Linked DNA regions of Callithrix jacchus. The protein of the gene in region 4 interacts with the protein of the main gene of each other region in a pairwise test. Links are inferred from orthologs where the notes say so. Each region holds a gene or a part of one and is shown on either strand. Other genes may lie near its edges. The genes, in order: TIMM44, NELFCD, CSNK2B and ARAF.

Region 1 (4,272 bases), on a different chromosome or scaffold from region 4:
TACTGAGACAGACAAAGGGGGGCGTTGGCACCAGACCCAGGGGCAGGGGATGCAGGAGGAATGAACTCCTGCTGGAGGGAAGGGCAGATCTGGCTTCTGAGGCCAGCATAGGCCTTCTGTGCTCCTGTGGCGCACAGAACCACCAGAGCCACGAGACCACCACCATGGCTTCCTGGGTGCTGGTCCCTGGGCGAGGGGTGAGATGCTGGGTCAACTGGCCCCTCCTGAAAATGGGCAGGAGTCCTCTGGAGACAGAGGAAGTGCTCGGACCCCATGCTGGGCAAACCCAGATAGAACAGGTGACAGAGGAGAGCCTGCAGCACCCCAGGAGGCCTCCCTCCCGCCTCCACCCTTGCCTGGGGATGGAAGAGGCCCCTCCCCTCCTATTTTCAGGCTGGAAAAACATTTTCGTTTTCTCCTCGTCCTGGCTTACTGCTGCTGAGTTACAGGGTCAACTGTCATGCAAGGTCACGAGTCTGACCTCATCCTGTGTGTGCCTGGGGAACTCCAGAAGCCTTCCCGAGGGTGGTCCCAGGCCCCATGTCACCCAATGCTGCCAAGTCACCCCCCACCTGGGAGCCGACTCTTCCTTCAGCAGCAGGGGGACTGCGGTGGCCCCCAGGGGCTCTAGGTGGGTGTGGGACTCTTACCTCCTTCATGGTGCCTGTCAGCTCCCCAAGCTTCTTCCATAGCACCTCACTTGTCCGCATGGTTTCTGACTCCATGGTTTTCTAGGTAAAGAGTGTTGTGTCTTTGCCCGGCTAATTTTTGTCTTTTTAGTAGAGATGGGATTTTACCACCTTGGCCAGGCTGGTCTCAAACTCCTGACTTCAAGAGATCCACCTGCCTCAGCCTCCCAAAGTTCTGGGATTACAGGTGTGAGCCACTGCATCCGGCCAAGCTTTGTGTCTTTAAGTCTGTTTTGATATAGCAGTGCCATTTCTCTTACAGCCAAAGGTCCAAGAAACATTTTCTCGGCAGCCCCTCCCTCCCCACGCCTGCCACCATGCGCTGCCTCCGGGGCCCCTGACAGCCCATGTGGCTTGGATTAAGGGTCTCAGCGGCTGGGAGCTCCCTGCCCAGAAGGCTGGCAGACTCAGACTCTGGCGTGGCAGCTACCTCCTGAGAACAGGAGGCCCAGTTTGACTTTCACTGGGTGGCAGGAGGTGACCTTGCCTGTCATCACTCTGCCCCTCATCCAGCCTCCAGCCACCACAGCTTGGTCTTATGTCTCCCACACCATCCATCCCCCGTAAACCCAGCCTGCACTGTCCTCAGGTGGCCCCTGCCTTAATGCTAAAGAGGGGCTGGGCATGCAGCTATAGTCCCAGCGATTTGAGAGGCTGAGATAGGAGGATCGCTGGAGCCCAGGATGGGAGACCAACACAGGCAACCCTGTCTCTACAAAAAATAAAAAAAAATCAGCCAGGCATGGTATCCCATGCCTTTAGTTACACCTTCTCAGGAGGCTAAGGTAGGAGGATCACCTGAGCATGGGGAGGTCAAGACTGCAGTGAGCCATAATCGCACCACTGCACTCCAGCCAGGGTGACAGAGCAAGACCCTGTCTCAAAAAATCAAACTAGGCCAGGCATGGTGGCTCATGCCTGCAATCCCAGCACTTTGGGAGGCCAAGGTGGGCGGATCACCTGAGGTAGGATTTCCAGACCAGCCTGGCCAACATGATGTTGGCCTCTCTCTACTAAAAATACCAAAATTAGACACTCGTGGTGGTACATGCCTCTAATTCCAGTTTTTTGGAAGGTTGAGGCAGGAGAATCATTTGAACCCAGGAGCCAGAGGGGCAGTGAGCTGAGATCGTGCCACTGTACTCCACCCTGGGCGACAGAGCAAGACTCTGTCTCAAAGAAAACACACACAAAAAACCCCACAAACTAAGTCAAACGAAAACAAAACCCAAGGGACCTGTGGCAGGTGCCTGCATCTCTGAGGCTCAGCTGCTCATTGGTAAGCTGGGGACACTTGCACCTGCCTCGAAGGGCCCTGACAAATAAAGGAAAGCAGAGCCATTCCCAGAAGCCAGGCCTTGGCAGCTGCTCAAGAAGAGAATTAATAATCACAGGCTGGGAGCAGTGGCTCACGCCTGTCATCACAACACTTTGGGAGACTGAGGAATGCAGATCACTTGAGGCCAGGAGTTCAAGACTAGCCTGGCCAAAATGGTGAAACCCCTTTTCTACCCAAAAAAAACCAGATCACTTGAGGCCAGGGGTTCAACGCCAGCCTGGCTAACATGGTAATACCTGTCTTTACTAAAAATACAAAAATCAGCTCAGTAGTAATGCCTGTAATCCCACCTACTCAGGAGGCTGAGGCAGAAGAATTGCTTGAGCCTAGGAGGCAGAGGTTGTGGTGAGCTGAGATCGTGCCACTGCACTCCAGCCTGGGTGACAGAGTAAGACTCTGTCTCAAAAGAAAAAAAAAAAAAATAAAGAAAAATCAGCTGGGTGTGGTGGCAGGTGCCTATAATCTTAGCTACTCAGGAGACTGAGGCAGGAGAACAGCTTGAACCCAGGAGGTGGAGGTTGCAGTAAGTCAAGATTACATCACTACACTCCAGAGCAATGATGCCTGGGTGACAGAGCAAGATCCCATCTCATAAAGTAATTATACCAGCACCATCACCTAGTTTCCACCCGGCTTCACTCAGGGGGCGACAGCTGGGAGCTCTCAGGAGCGCTGCATCCCACGGCTGATGTGCATGTGTTGCCTGCGGTCCTGTGAAGATGTGAACGCTGGCCTGGCAGTTTGGGAGGGTGTGAGCCTCTGCATCTGGCACCCACTCCCAGGAGCAGCCACAACTGCTGGTCTGGGGACCATGCTTGAAGGTGCACAGAATGCTACATGGTTTCATGGCAGAACCCAGAGGCCCGGAGACCTGCTCCTGTCCCCTGGCTGCCTCTCATTAGTGCATCAGAGCAGTGACCTCACGAGCCACCCTGCCCCCAACCGTCTGGCCCTGAGCTCCTCTGGCTGAAGCTGGCCTGGAGTAACCCTGGCTCTGGAAACAGATATGTCAACCAAGAAAAATAAGAAACAAAGGCGCCTGACAAGGTGGCTCACGCCTGTAATCTCAGCAATTTGGGAGGCCCAGGCGGGCGGATCACCTGAGGTCGGGAGTTTGAGGCCAGACTGACTAACAGGGAGAAACCTCGCTTCTACTAAAAATACAAAATTAGCCTGGCGTGGTAGCATATGCCCGTAATCCCAGCTACTTGGGAGGCTATGGCAGGAGAATCACTTGAACCCAGGAGGTGGGGTTTTGGTGAGCCAAGATTGTGCCACTGCACTCCAGCCCAGATGGGGGAAAAATAAAGCAGCAAAGGAACTCACGTATTTCCTTCTGGCCTCCTGGAGCGTGTCTGATTCTTCCAGCCTCCTGGCCTCATCGCGAAATTTTTTAATACTTTCTTTCATTTCTTCGTTTTTGGCTAATTCTTGTTTGATATTATCTAGCAAGCCGGACAGAAAGCCTTTTCTGTTTCCAGAAGAATATGATTTGGACTAGAAAGAACGCAAAAGAAAAAAACATTTAAGGAACACAGTAGGGCCGGGTGCGGTGGTTCACGCCTGTAATCCCAGCACTTTGGGAGGCTGAGATGGGTGGATCATGAGGTCAAGAGTTTAAGACCAGCCTGGCCAACATGGTGAAACCCCCTCTCTACAAAAAATACAAAAATTAGCTGGCCTGTAGTCCCAGCTACTCACGAGGCTGAGGCAGGAGAATTGCTTGAACCCAGGAGGCGCAGGTTGCAGTGAGCTGAGATCGTGCCACTGCACTCCAGCCTGGCGCCTGGCGACAGAGCAAGACTGTGTCTCAAAAAAAAAAAAAAGTAAAGAACACAGTAGAAGAACATACAACAAAAAGCCCCACAGAGGGACTCTAAGGGATTTTTGTTCTGTTTTGTTTTTGTTTTGAGAAGAGTCTCACTCTTTCGCCAGGCTGGCGTGCAGTGGTGAAATCTCAGCTCACTACAACCTCTGCCTCCCAGATTCAAGTGATTCTCCTGCCTCAACCTCCTGAATAGCTGAGACTACAGGTGCCTGCCACTGCGCCCAGCTAATTTTTGTATTTTTAGCAGAGATGGGGTTTCACCATGTGGCCAGGATGATCTCCATCTTTGAACCTTGTGATCTGCCTGCCTCTGGCCTCCTAAAGTGCTGGGATTACAGGCATGAGCCACTGCGCCCAGCCTCTGAGAGATTTTTTTTAAATGTTCTCTTTTCTGTTGATATACATTTAATGATGAT
Region 2 (4,715 bases), on a different chromosome or scaffold from region 4:
CTCTTTAATACCCTTTCCTTACTGACATGGGCATTACCCTTCTTTTTTTTTTTGTTTATAGACAGGGTCTTACTTTGTCACACAGTCTGAAATGGCATGACCATTGCTTACTGCAACCTCAAGCTCTTGGGCTGAAACAATCCTCCTGCCTCAGCCTCCTGAGCTGCTAGGACTGCAGGCATGCATCACCATACCTGGCCGAGGGGATGGGGATGTCTCTGTATGTTGCCCAGGTTGGTCTCAAGCTCTTGCCTCAGGCAATCCTCCCACCTCAGCCTCCCAGAATGCTGGGATTATAGGTGTGAGCCACGGCGGTCAGCCATGGAAATTTCCTTTTAAAGTATCCAGATCTGATGGCGTTAAAATTTCACCCTGCTTAAAATTTTCCACGATTTGGACACAAAGATGGGAACAACAGACCCAGGGGATTCCAAAAGGCAGAAGGTGTGGGAGATGGGGTGGGGTGGGGGGGGGGTGAGGGGGTGCGGGTAAAGGTTGAAAAGCTGCCTATCTGGTACCATGTTCACTACTTTGGTGAAGGGATTATTAGAAGCATCACACAATATACCAATGTAACAAACCTGCACATGTACCAAATTTAAAATTAAAAAAGCACACACACACTCAACAGCCAACAAAAGCCTTTCCGTGATTATCAAGAGGCTGTCATGTTCTTACTCCCTACTTCACATTAGAAGTGTGCTGCGGGCTTCACAACAGCATCACCTGCGCCCTTTGGCAGCTACCAGGGAGGTCCTTTCTCCAGAGATTTTTGTGGGCTCTGGACACTTTTGCTTTGCGGGCCTTTCCTCCATTTAAAAAAAAAAAATTAAAAACGTTACTTTCCACTGCATTTAGTACTTTTTCTTTTCTTTTCTCTCTTTTTTTTTGAGACACAGTTTCACTCTGTTGCCCAGGCTGGAGTACAGTGGTGTGATCTTGGTTCACTGCAACCTCCGCCTCTAGGGTTCAAGCGATTCTCCTGCCTCAGTCTCCCTAGTAGTTGGGATTACAGACGCCCGTCACCACGCCTGGCTAATTTTTGTATTTTGAGTAGAGATGGGGTTTCAGCATGTTGGCCAGGCTGGTCTCGAACTCCTGATCTCAAGTGATCCGCCCTCCGAGGCCTCCCAAAGGGCTGGGATTACAGGCGTGAGCCCCCACGCCCTGCCGCGTTTAGTACTTTTTACCAAAAATAAAAGAAATTAAAACACTTTCGTGGGTTCTAGACACTCCCCAAAGAATTTGTTCCCAGCTGTCCGATGAAGAAACTGGCGCTCGCAGGGCTGGTGCAACAGGAGTGAGACCGTGCACGAGTCCAGTTGGAAACCTCTCTGCATAAGCCCCTGGCCCACCCTAGCAGCGCTCAGAAACCGATTGGGGGGCGTTCCTTTCGCCCGGTCCTCTTTGTTCCTAGCGGGAAGCCCGCGGCTCTGCTCCCCCTCCAGGCCCCACCCCTTCCTCCAAGCCCCGCCTCCCGCCCGGGCCGAGCGCGCGGGGGGCGGGGCCGCGGGGCCGCGCGTGCGTCCGCTCGCCCGTTTTCGCCTCGCGCATGCGCCACGCTAGCTCGCGGTAGAGCATGGCGGTGTCCGCGCCGGGAGCCATCATGGATGAGGACTACTTCGGGAGCGCGGCCGAGTCGGGCGACGAGGCTGACGGCGGCCAGGTAAGGCGGGGCATCGGGCGCTCCCCGGCGAGGATCGTTCGTCTCCGCCGCCGGCGGGCCGGCTCCGCTCCCGGCAAGCCCGCGCGGCGCGAGGCCGCGGGCGTGCGGGGTGTGTGCGCGCGCACGGCCTGCGCGGTCTCCGTGTGGTTCTACACAGCCCGCCCCGCCCCCCCAGCCCGGGGTCCCTGCGTCTTCGCCTGCAGGACCGTGGGGCGGGGACGAGGCGGCGGTGGCTCTGGAGCGGGACAGCCCGAAGCCCCCAGTGACCCCTCGTTCCGGCCAGCCTCGGCGCCGGCCCTGCGACCCCCACGGCGGGTGGGACACCAATACTAAGGTGGAGGGTTGGGCTCGAAGCCCAGACAGTTTTAAACAAAAATAAAATGGAAAACTTCACACCAGCATCGTGGGGAAAAAGTAAAACTTTGGGCATTCCTACTGTGTTTCACTGTTTTATAAACTGTACTCTTCAGCACCCCTGGCCGATTTCATCTGTCTTTGGACAAAATAATGAAAAGGATCTTCTGGCCTTGACCTTCCAGGGTTTGGAGTGGAAGCCCAGGAGGGGTCACTCTATTCTCCCCTGAGGACAGGGCCTGCAGAGCCAGGGAAGGCAGTTCTAGTCAGGCTGGTTTGTCACCACCTTTTTCTAACCTTTTTTTTTTTTGTTAATGAGAGCTTCTTATGTTGCTCAGGTTGGCCTTGAACTCAGCCTCGCTTCCTCAAGCGCCAGGACAACTGGCCGGAGCCTTTTTCTAATCTTAAAACCCACCTGCTGCGCATGATTGAAATGTGCAGCTTCTCAGGTCCCTACAGTTGATCTGCACGAGAGCCTAGGAACTTGCATTTTTTTTTGAGGCAGAGTTTCACTCTTGTTGCCCAGGCTGGAGTGTAATGGTGCAATTTCGGCTCACTGCAACTTTTGCCTCCCTGGTTCCAGTGATTCTCCTCCCTCAGCCTCCCGAGTAGCTGGGATTACAGGCGCCTGCTACCACACTCATTTTTTAAAATTTTGAGTGGAGAGGGGGTTTCACCATGTTGGCCAGGCTGGCCTCAAGCTCTGGATCTCAGGTGATCCATCCACCTCGGCCTTCCAAAGTTCTGGGATTATAGGTGTGACCCATGCGCCTGGCCCAGGAACTTGCATTTTTAACAAGAATCAACAATGGGGATATTTGGTCCATTTTGAACTGGTATTTTGAGGGAATGAAGGATGCAGTGGGCTTACTTCAATGAACATGGATGGTGGTGTGATGACGGCTTCGGAGCTGTGGTAGCAAATAACAGGACAGGCGATGTGTTTCTGGAACTGAAAGAAGGCCTGTGAGGTTAGCTGCCTGGTGGAAGCAGTGGCAGGAGGTCAGTAGGGAGCAGGTCTGAAGATCCTTGGAGAGCCGCTGAATGGCTTGTTCAGGAGTTTGGGGCAGGAGGTGATATGAGTAGATTTGCATGTTGGATCATTTCACAGCGTTGGAGGCTTAGGGTAGAGTGGATAGAGAGTCAGATGTGGCTGAGAGCCTGGGCCATGTGCTTCATGCATTATCACCTTCCACACTCAAGATTTTGAGTTGGGTGTTACTCTATCTGGTAAGTGAAGAAAGTGAGGTGGAAAGACTTAATGACCTTCCCAAAGTCATGAAACTAATAAAGGAAGGAGAGGGGACCCAAACCCATGTCATTTGCCTCTATTGCAGCTTCATCAAATTGCTGACCACCAAAGTGGTCCAGATGAGAGGGTATGAATTATCTTAGTGGTGGGTTGGTGTTTGGGGCATCTCGTATATCACCTTGAGACTTTTTTCTTTCTTTCTTTTTTTTTTGGGGGTGGGGGGGAGTCTCACTGGGCTGCCCAGACTGGAGTGCAGTGGTACGATCACGGCTCATGTAACCACTGTCTACCAGGTTCAAGTGATTCTGTGGTCTCAGCCTCCCTAGAAGCTGGGAGTACAGGCACCTGCCATCATGCCCAACTAATTTCTGTATTTTAGTAGGGATGGGGTTTCACTTTCACCATGTTGGCCAGGCTGATCTTGATCTCCTGACCTCAGGTGATCTGCCTGCCTCGGCCTCCTAAAGTGCTAGGATTACAGGCGTGAGCCACCACGCCGAGACTTTTTCTCTCTCTCTCTTTTTTTTTTCAGACAGAGTCTCACTCTGTTGCCCAGGCTGGATTGCAGTGGTGTCATCTTGGCTTACTGAAACCTCTGCCTCCCGGGTTCAAGTGATTTTCCAAGTAGCTGGGATTACAGGCTAATTTTTGTATTTTTAGTAGAGATGGGCTTTCATCATGTTGGCCAGGCTGGTCTCAAACTCCTGGCCTCAAGTAGTTTGCCCGCCTCAGCCTCCGGAAGTGCTGGGATTATAGGCTTGAGCCACCACCCCTGGCCTCACCTTGAGCCGCTGAGTCAAAAAGTGTTAGAACTGGGGAATGTAAGGGCCATCTAATCTGCCTTCACTTCCAACTCTAGACCCTGCTGTTGGAAGATTGGGGAATTTTTTTTTGAGACGGAGTCTTGCTCTTGCCCAGGCTAGAGTACAATGGTGTACTCTTGGCTCACTGCAACTCTTATCTCTCAGGTTCCAGCGATTCTCCTGCCTCAGCCTCCCTAGTAGCTGGGACTATAGGCTCGCTAATTGCCTGGCTAATTGTTGTAGTTTTTAGTAGAGATGGGGTTTCACCATATTGGCCAGACTGGTCTTGAACTTCTGACCTCATGATCCGCCTGCCTCAGCCTCCCAAAGTGCTGGGATTACAGATATGAGCCACCATGCCCGGCCTCATGTTTGGGGAATTTTGATCATGATCCTAATGTATCCCATTGACACCAGTGGGCTCTCATTGATGAGGAGGGTGGACCAGATGTTCATTTCATTTTTATTCTGTGATCCCACTTGGACGAGGGACAGAAAGTTAGGAAAAGTGTTAGGAGGGTGGCAAGAACTGGATTTTAAAAGACAGTTGGTGACTCACATTCCGTTCACTTGATGCCATGTTCCATATATGGTGGAAGGCGGGAAGATGTGTAAGGAGGCCACTGTGATGTTCAGTCAG
Region 3 (4,974 bases), on a different chromosome or scaffold from region 4:
AGAAATGAGAAAATGAAACCAGGCAAGGGAAGGATGACACAAGCAAGCCAAGCTACTGGTGACCCCTGTAGCAACCAGAGTCTCCAGGGACATGCTGGGATGAGAAAAACTAGTCAAAAAACACCCTCCTGCCGCTAAAATGACGCCACAACTTAGGACCTTGCAGGGCCTAAGGGAAAGAGGTTTTCTGTAAAAACACAGAACCCTACAATAACCGACTCTGCTCCTTAGCAAAGGTTAATAAAACTCCATGAGACAGTTGTCCAGCGGTCCTGCGTCCCGCCCCCACTCCCACCCCCATCCTCACCAACAATAAATACCAGCCTCTTTCTGAAACCATTTTACCCCTCCGTAAAACACACATACCATTAAGAAAAAAATCAGCCTGTCCCTTTAAATCTTCCTCGATACCATTTTGGAGTTTTCTCCGAAACAGAAGTCACTCCCTAGGAAGATCTGGAGGACAGGCTCCAGTCTGCGATGCTGTGTAGCTTTCGTACGGCAAAATGGCACTATTCTAAACAGAAGAGTTGACACAATCAAACAGCCGCACGGCACGAAGACGCATGCGTGGCGACGACAACAACAACAAAAACCACAACCCACATTACTTGAGGGCTCAGGCGTGCGCAAAGCTCCCAGTTCAGTTTCCCGCGCTGGAACCTTTCCAATAGCAAACGCGCAAAGCTCTGCGCGCCCCGCTGGCGCGAGCACCAGGATCTGTCGGTTAGGGTTCTACTTTTACCTATACGCCCCCACAATGCCCTTCGCCTTCCTCAACGTGAACCGCCCCCCTCCCCGCCCCCTCGCTCCAAGTCCATTTTCTGGACCTGGGAATCCACTCTCCGTGTTAGGAAAGGCCCTCAGGAGGCGGAGGGAAACTTGTGGAATGCCGAGAAGCCGTGAAATGAAATAACGTCACGCCTGCCCCTCACCATTACTCTGACCAGGGTTCTAAGGTCACACTTAGAGCGTAAAAGGAGAAGTGCAAGGGGACGAGCGAAATGGCTGGCCCCACCTCAGGTTACCGCACTGGGCCGTTCTGGTTCTCACAACGCTCAGCTCAGCTCAGCCCAGCCCACCCAACCCAAGTCCCTACGCACGGAGCCAAACTGCACCTCTCGCCTCATGAGGCCAGAGCCGGGAGGGTAACAGGAGGCCAGTCAAGGGTGTCCGGCGGGACTGACTCTCACTAGGGGCTCAACAATCAATAAGGACCCAGCGGATTGGCCGGGGATGGGCCAGTCCCCTGGGCAGCAGCGCCCCGCTGCGCCGGAACTAGACGGGAACTGCGTGTCTCCCTCCTCTCCCCGCCCCATCTCGGCTTTTCTCCCAGTGAGCACACAACTATATTTCCCAGGCTCCCTGGCCCCAAACGTCATACCTGGCTTCCGCTTCCGGTGGCTTCTCGCTGTGCCCCGCCCGCAAGCGTCCTCCTCCGGGGCTTCGTGACAGCCAGGTCGTCCGCGGGTCTTCCTGGGATTGGTAGTTCGCTTTTCCTTCATTTCACCAGTTTCTCTTTCTACCTGGGACTCCGTGTCCCGGCATCCATCGCAGCACCTGACCCTTGGCGCTTGCGTGTTGCCCTCTTCCCCACCCTCCCCAATTTCCACTCCCCCCCACCCCACTTCTCTTGCCGCGGTCGGGTCCGCGGCCTGCGCTGTAGCGGTCGCCGCCGTTCTTTGGAACTAGCGACTTCCCTACCCCACCCCAGTCCTGGTCCCCGTCCAGGCGGTGAGTCTGAGGTCGTCGCTACTCAGAGTCTCTTGTTGGGAGCAGCACATGGGGTCTCCGTACTTTGATGTGGGGGCGGGGGAGGAAGCGACCAGGTCCGGCACAAAGGAGGGAGAGGTGGCCTGAGGAGCGGAGGCAAGATGTGTGGACTCCAGTGAAAGGGACTTGACGGTCGCTCCAGCCCATAAGAAGAGGAGGGGCCCGGCTCTTGCTAGAGAATGATAAACTTCGAAACGCTTGGGAAAGGCGCCGGGGTCATGCAGAGAGCTGCAGTGGTAGGGAGCCTGAGCCGAGGTCCGTGCTGGAGGTGACACAAAGTAGAGAGGGCCCTGGCCTTCGGGAGCTCCAGGGATGTGGGTCAGGCTGGTGGGTCAAAGTATCTGTTGGGTTCTCTCAAGTGGTGGGACCCCAAAGTGTGTTTAACCTCAAAGAAAAGGAGCTGAGACGTAAATTAGAGGAGCTGGAGAGGAGTGTTTCAGAGTTTGGGATCCTTTAAAAAAGGACGGCTCCAAATTCTAAAGTCTCCCGTGGTTGGAGGGCCGAATGTGGGAGGAGGGAGGATACCAGAGGCAAGGAGGGAGAACTTGAGCTTTACTGACATTCTTCGTTTTCCAGCTGACGTGAAGATGAGCAGCTCAGAGGAGGTGTCCTGGATTTCCTGGTTCTGTGGGCTCCGTGGCAATGAATTCTTCTGTGAAGTGAGTTCTCTTCAACCCCCCTCCTTGCCAGCTCCACATAGATTCCCACTAGACGTTTCTCCACATATTCCACTTCCTCATCGTTCTCTTATATGCTACTTGAAAACTTCCCATCAATGAAGAGTCCCCTCAGTAACCCCCGGCAAATCTGTGCTAAAGTGGCAAAATTGGGGCCTGTCCCAACTCTGCCATCCTCCAGCAATATAACGTTGGACTAGGCAATTTGTGACTTTCTCTTTTTTTCTTTTTGAGACCGAGTCTTGCTCTGTCACCCAGGCTGGAGTGTAGTGGTGTGATCTCACCTCAATGCAACCTCTGCCTTCCAGGTTCAAGTGATTCTCCTGCTCCAGCCTCCCAAGTAGCTGGGATTACAAGTGGCTGCCACCACGCCCAGCTAATTTTGTATTTTTAGTAGAGACAGGGTTTCACTAGGTTGCCCAGGCTGATCTCGAACTCCAGACTTTAGGTAATCTGCCCGCCTTGGCCTCCCAAAGGGCTGTGATTACAGGCATGAGCCAGTGCACCCAGCGTGTGTCTTTTATTACTAAAGTGGCACTGCTAGTACCTGTCTCAGGTGGCCGTTAGGAGAATTGAAATGCTACGTATCCAAATCTTTTGTTCAGAAACCAGGCTGTTCAGCTTCCACCTTCCTTAGCCAGCTGAGAGGACAAAATGGTTCCTAGCGATGGGAGACAGGAATAAGGATAGAGATCTTGAAAAGAATGTCTCTCTAAGAAAAAGACTGCTGTACCTGCTTATCCTTAGAAAACAAAAGCCAAAGCTTTTATGGGAGGGAGTATAGGTGAACAGAGAAGAGACGCGAGTACTTCTGCTGAGTTTCAAGTGAGAAACAAGGGGGAACAGAGCAGTTAGGTTGATAACAAGGCATCAGTTAGAGCATTTTGCTCACGTTAAAGATGGAGATTTTGACATGGGTTCCCTCTTGGCTTCCATATCCTGACAGGTGGATGAAGACTACATCCAGGACAAATTTAATCTTACTGGACTCAATGAGCAGGTCCCTCACTATCGACAAGCTCTAGATATGATCTTGGACCTGGAGCCTGGTGAGGCACCCTCAGGGTTGTTTGTGTGTGTGCGTGTACTTTTTTTTCTCTTCAGATCCCTATTCACTTGCTTGAATTTTGAAATTTCCTTTGGTTCTCTGATTTTCTTAACCCCAAATTCATGCTTTATTTTGATCCTCCACCTGACTCTTGTCTAGTTTTGTGACGCATTATCACTTGTTTCCCATACTTTTTAAATCCACAGTTCGGATCTATTCCAAAATGGGTTTCCTCATGGGTCTCATTTGCTGTCTGTTTCTCCTACCTTGGACCTTCTAGTCCGGAGTTTGATCTTCTGCATTGATATTGTCGCATTTATGTATTGAGGAGGGAGTTGGGAGGGAGAGGAGAGGAGAGGAGAGGGCAGAGGCTGACGAGGTGTGAAGAGAAGGCAGAGCTCTGCCTTGGGCTGGTGAAAGCGTCAGAAGCCCAGGTTTCTGGGTCACATGCCCAGGTGTTGGATAGGGTAAGGCTCAAAAGTAGGTGCTAGGCAAACTGAATAGCTAGCAGCCCCTGGGTATGGGCAGGGCACCTAGGAAAGCTGAAAAACAAGTGGTTGCATTTGGCTGGGCTGTGTTTCAGATGAAGAACTGGAAGACAACCCCAACCAGAGTGACTTGATTGAGCAGGCAGCCGAGATGCTTTATGGATTGATCCACGCCCGCTACATCCTTACCAACCGTGGCATTGCCCAGATGGTGAGGCCACTCTGCTCCCACTTGCCTCTTTCTGAGCAGTAAGAGAAACAGGTTCCTGCAGCAAGAAGTCATGTTTCAGCCCAGCTAAGGAAGCTAGCTGAGAAGAGGGGAAGAACCCCAGAACTTGGGCCTTGGAATTTAATCCTGATTGGGGGTCATCCTGAAGGGATCGTTTTCAGGGAGGGAGACAGACCTTGAACAGAGAGTTGTTATAGATTGGCTCTTCCTCAAGGAACAAACAGTGAATGGCTCTGATGGTTTGTTGTCTGCCTAACTGGAAGAAAGGCAACATAGGAGTTTGAGAGCCCATCTGGGCCAGTGAAGGGGCCTCTGGACAGAGGTGGGAGGAGTGGGGGACAGAGTGATGTGGGTTGGGCTGAGAAGGGAGTTGCCTCTTCTCTTAACACCTACCTGCCAACCCCTTCCATTTTATTCACCTCAGTTGGAAAAGTACCAGCAGGGAGACTTTGGCTACTGTCCCCGTGTGTACTGTGAGAACCAGCCAATGCTTCCCATTGGTGAGTGTTGAAGCAGGGAAAGGAAGGAACTGTGTGACAGTCTTATGGAAAGGAGTTGGGCTCAGCATGTTGGGGCCTGAGTCCTGAGGGGAGGTGAGGGTGGGAATGGGGGGCTACCTGGCCTGCTGAGTCTGGCTGTCTCCCAGGCCTTTCAGACATCCCAGGTGAAGCCATGGTGAAGCTCTACTGCCCCAAGTGCATGGATGTGTACACACCCAAGTCATCACGGCACCATCACACGGATGGCGCCTATTTCGGC
Region 4 (4,272 bases):
GCACTATGATATTGAGTCAGTTGTTTGATAACTGAGCAGGCTTCTAAGAGATGGGCGGTAGCACAGACAGTGTGGATCTGCTAGATAAAGGGATGATTCACATCCCGGGTGGGATGGTGCAGGATTTCATCATGCTACTCAGAATGCACGCAATTTAAAACTTATGAATTGTTTATTTCTGCAATTTTTAAATTTAACACTTTCCTACCCAGTTGATCACAGGTAACTGAAATCGTGGAGAGTGAAACCACAGATAAGGGAGGACTATGGTAGTTCAACTAATCTATGAGTTCATCCAATTTTTGTTTTGTTACTTCATTGATTCATTGGCCTGTAAGGTCAGCAACTCATTCTCCCCTGGCCCCCAAGTCCTCACCCTGCTCCATCACTTCCTCCCAGATTTCATCTATTTTGTCTTTTCGCGATTTCATGAATTCATCAGCTCTCTTCTTCCTCATTTTCCCCATTCTTTGTCTGCTGAGTTGGGCCTTGCTGACCTTATTTATTCCTCTCTTGTGAGGTTCCTTAATTTTGTATGCAGTTCACACACTGCACTTTGTTATTTCAGTGCCTCCTCAGCCCCCTTTTCAGGGGCTGGCTTAGTGCTCCTGAGATGTAGTTGTTTAGTTTCATTTGCTTCTCCACTTCCGTTTAAGAGCATGGACTCTTCACACAGTCCTGCCTTTCATTACACTTGTGGCCTTGGGCCAGTCACTTTATCCCTCTGAGCCTGTTTCCCCATCTGTAAAGTGGGGGCAAGGATAGTAAATAATTCCTAGAGTAGCTATGATGAGAATTAAACATGCCAGACATGACGCTGTGGGTAGCAGGCTTGGAGGGACTTTTGGGAGTTCCCTGCCTCCCCATAACCCCTCCCCACCCTCCCACTCATTCCCTTCCATGCCCCCTGCAGACGAAAGACGGTTACTGCCTGGGACACAGCCATCGCTCCCCTGGATGGCGAGGAGCTCATTGTCGAGGTCCTTGAAGATGTTCCGCTGACCATGCACAATTTTGTGAGTGCAGGGTGGACATTGTGGGCCGACTATGGTTGAAGGGTGTCCTTGATCAGGTCTTAAACTTCCCTGCTCTGTGGCATCAGGTACGGAAGACCTTCTTCAGCCTGGCGTTCTGCGACTTCTGCCTTAAGTTTCTGTTCCATGGCTTCCGTTGCCAAACCTGTGGCTACAAGTTCCACCAGCATTGTTCCTCCAAGGTCCCCACAGTCTGTGTTGACATGAGTACCACCTGCCAACAGTGAGCCCAACCTAGGGTGGGTGGGGGGATGGGGAGCACAGAGGCCCAGCCACAAGGCCCTTACAGACAGCTGATCCGTGTCCCCTTGCTTTATACCCTTCATGCCCTCAAGGTTCTACCACAGTGTCCAGGATTTGTCCAGAGGCTCCAAACAGCATGAGGCTCCCTCAAACCGCCCCCTGAATGAGTCGCTAACCCCCCAGGGTCCCAGGTAGGGATGCCTTAGCTGAAGGGGGAGAAAAAGATCTGGGGCTCTTGTAGACCACAAGCCATACTTTATTCATTTGTTTACTTGACAAACATTTATTGAGCACCTACAAGTGTGAATAAGGGCATGAAACTGGGACCTTGGACAAATCACCTGATTTCTCTGGGCCTCAGTTTTCTCATCTGTAAAGTGGATAATGATACTTTCTACCATATAAGGTTCTGGTGAGGATTAAATGAGTTAAGATGTTCATTGCCTAGAACAGGATCTGGTACAGTGTAAATAATTCTTTTTATTATTAATTATAAATATAAGCATCTAACTATTTTGCTAATTCTTCTAGAACCATGCTCAAGCCTTTCCTTTTTGAAATGTTTTATAAATTACTTCCCTTTTATTGCTTTTTATGTTTAATATTATAATAATACAATACTATAGCTATATTAAAATATATTACTGCTCTAATATATATTTTATAATGTGTATGTTTTATGGTATTTTTATGTTATTGTATCATGTTGTATTACATAATTGTGTGTCATGTAGAACATCATACGTGTTTATATAATACATAAAATAAGGTTAGGGTATTATTATTTTAATGTGTGTATGTGGATTAATTACCGTTGAGTTTCATTTCAGGAGAGTGAGGGAACATTAACATATTTTTGTAACTTTCTGTTTAGCATATATCCTATGTATAACATGCATGTATAACATAGAACATGGTAATATGTATACTTTAAGACATTGGCATTTTAATATAGATAATGCATATTATATAACATTTGAAGAATACATGTAACTATAATATATAATGATAAAATATGATACATTGCCCTTTCCCACTATCCGTGTGGCTTGCTATCCTGCCTTTAGGCGTTTACTCCAGTGTCACCTCCTCAGAGAAGTCTTTTCTGACACTTTATAGGAACACTGTGTCTCCTTATTTTGCTTTACTATTTTTCTTTATTGCACCTGTCACCATCAGGCATATTATATATTTGTTTTTTTATTTCAGCCCCATGAGGGCAAGAACTGTTATTTTGTTTTACAGTTTTATCTCCACCACCTAGAATGGTATCTGGCACACAGCAGGCACTCAATAAATGTTTCTTGAAGCAATGAATAATAGTACTGCCAGTGGACATTCGCTCTGTGTGAGCTAAATGCATGTTTACGGCCGGGGGTGGGGTGGGGGGCTTTCTTGGTTCTCTGATTCCTGACAGTGATTTCACAGCCTTTCCCCTGGCAGCCCCTGCAACCAGCACTGTGACCCGGAGCACTTCCCCTTCCCCACCCCAGCCAATGCTCCCCTGCAGCGCATCCGCTCCACGTCCACTCCCAACGTCCATATGGTCAGCTCCACGGCTCCCATGGACTCCAACCTCATCCAGGTTGGTGCTGTGGGGGACAATCGTGGGGACCGCTGGACAGAGGGGAGAGTCATTTCTGTTGGCCTCCGTGCCCTCTTTTTGACCCCTGTCCCTCTTCTTCTAGCTCACTGGCCAGAGTTTCAGCACTGATGGTGAGTCCCCCGTGCCTGCACTCTGGCCCTCGCCACCCCACTTGCCTCCACTCACATCCTCTCTGTAACTGCAGCTGCCAGTAGTAGAGGAGGTGGAGATGGAGCCCCCCGGGGGAGCCCCAGCCCAGTCAGCGTGTCCTCGGGGAGGAAGTCCCCACATTCCAAGTCACCAGCAGAGCAGCGTGAGCGGAAGTCCTTGGCTGATGACAAGAAAAAAGTGGTATGATCAAGGGGGGACCTTTTGGGGGGACCAAGGCTGAGTTATGTGGGATGAAGGATGTGGGCAGGCCTCTTAGATGCCACCCATCTGGCCCACAGAAGAACCTGGGGTACCGGGACTCAGGCTATTACTGGGAGGTACCACCCAGTGAGGTGCAGCTGCTGAAGAGGATTGGGACAGGCTCGTTTGGCACCGTGTTTCGAGGGCGGTGGCATGGCGATGTGGCTGTGAAGGTGCTCAAGGTGTCCCAGCCCACAGCTGAGCAGGCCCAAGCCTTCAAGAACGAGATGCAGGTGCTCAGGTGAGGTTGAACGTGTGCATGGATTGGGGTGGCAGCCCTGGCCTTGGCCCTTCCCGGGAAAAGGCCATGCTTGGAGTGCTTCCTGGATATCACCTGCATTTGTGTTGTTAAACCATCATCAGAAGTTGTTTCTCTCTGAAGGATGTCCCTCTCCCCTCTGGGAAATGGGTATGTTTACAGGACCTCTGATTGTGCAGTTGTTTTGTGTTTGGGTTATTAATTAATGGCTCTGCCTCCAAAGTGTGGGTCTTCTCAGTTGCCTGCTGTGAACTGGGTTTGGGTGTGGGCCATCATTGCAGTAACCCCATTACCAGGAAGGCTTGCATCTTTCCTTCCCCTCTGCTTGAACTACATCAGTAATGTTCTGTTTATAGTGTTGGTTCTCATTATTCACTAATTCTAATGCCTTGATTTAAACAATATTATTATCATCACAAGAATCTAATTATTGCTTTATTATTATAATTACTATTAGTATGTAATCAATACAGTATTCATCCAGCCATGCTAAGAAAGCCAGGTGTCCCTTTTTTGCTGCTATAGTTACTATGTAGCACATAGTAACTATAATAGTACTGCCAGTGGACATTCGCTCTGTGTGAGCTAAATGCATATTTATGGCTGGGGGCCTGTATACCTATATACTACAGGTAGTACTGGATAGCTTCTACCAGTTCTGGGGATGTCAGCATGGGCTTTTCCTCTCTGTCAAATGAGCACAATTATGTTACAGAGAATAAGGTAGCTAATATAATGAT

Evidence for each region.
Region 1: the proteins of ARAF (region 4) and TIMM44 interact in binary tests that used the Homo sapiens proteins (3 or more experiments, as listed by UniProt). The link is inferred for Callithrix jacchus from reciprocal best matches to the Homo sapiens genes ARAF and TIMM44.
Region 2: the proteins of ARAF (region 4) and NELFCD interact in binary tests that used the Homo sapiens proteins (3 or more experiments, as listed by UniProt). The link is inferred for Callithrix jacchus from reciprocal best matches to the Homo sapiens genes ARAF and NELFCD.
Region 3: the proteins of ARAF (region 4) and CSNK2B interact in a two-hybrid assay, tested with the Homo sapiens proteins (2 studies listed by BioGRID and IntAct). The link is inferred for Callithrix jacchus from reciprocal best matches to the Homo sapiens genes ARAF and CSNK2B.

Annotation. Positions count from the first base shown.
Region 1 is NC_133523.1:7,472,868-7,477,139, forward strand, and holds part of TIMM44 (mitochondrial import inner membrane translocase subunit TIM44), read right to left. Parts: intron 3,526-4,272; coding exon 3,355-3,525; intron 732-3,354; coding exon 651-731; intron 1-650. UniProt on the Homo sapiens protein: Essential component of the PAM complex, a complex required for the translocation of transit peptide-containing proteins from the inner membrane into the mitochondrial matrix in an ATP-dependent manner.
Region 2 is NC_133506.1:54,549,123-54,553,837, forward strand, and holds the start of NELFCD (negative elongation factor C/D), read left to right. Parts: upstream 1-1,569; 5' UTR 1,570-1,579; coding exon 1,580-1,666; intron 1,667-4,715. UniProt on the Homo sapiens protein: Essential component of the NELF complex, a complex that negatively regulates the elongation of transcription by RNA polymerase II.
Region 3 is NC_133505.1:39,169,141-39,174,114, forward strand, and holds the start of CSNK2B (casein kinase II subunit beta), read left to right. Parts: upstream 1-1,836; 5' UTR 1,837-1,952; coding exon 1,953-2,028; intron 2,029-2,349; coding exon 2,350-2,432; intron 2,433-3,396; coding exon 3,397-3,499; intron 3,500-4,081; coding exon 4,082-4,197; intron 4,198-4,639; coding exon 4,640-4,715; intron 4,716-4,861; coding exon 4,862-4,974. UniProt on the Homo sapiens protein: Regulatory subunit of casein kinase II/CK2.
Region 4 is NC_133524.1:48,529,657-48,533,928, forward strand, and holds part of ARAF (serine/threonine-protein kinase A-Raf), read left to right. Parts: intron 1-913; coding exon 914-1,016; intron 1,017-1,102; coding exon 1,103-1,257; intron 1,258-1,369; coding exon 1,370-1,468; coding exon of another isoform or gene 1,469-1,472; exon of another isoform or gene 1,473-1,612; intron 1,613-2,705; coding exon 2,706-2,862; intron 2,863-2,965; coding exon 2,966-2,993; intron 2,994-3,067; coding exon 3,068-3,213; intron 3,214-3,311; coding exon 3,312-3,514; intron 3,515-4,272. UniProt on the Homo sapiens protein: Involved in the transduction of mitogenic signals from the cell membrane to the nucleus. May also regulate the TOR signaling cascade. Phosphorylates PFKFB2.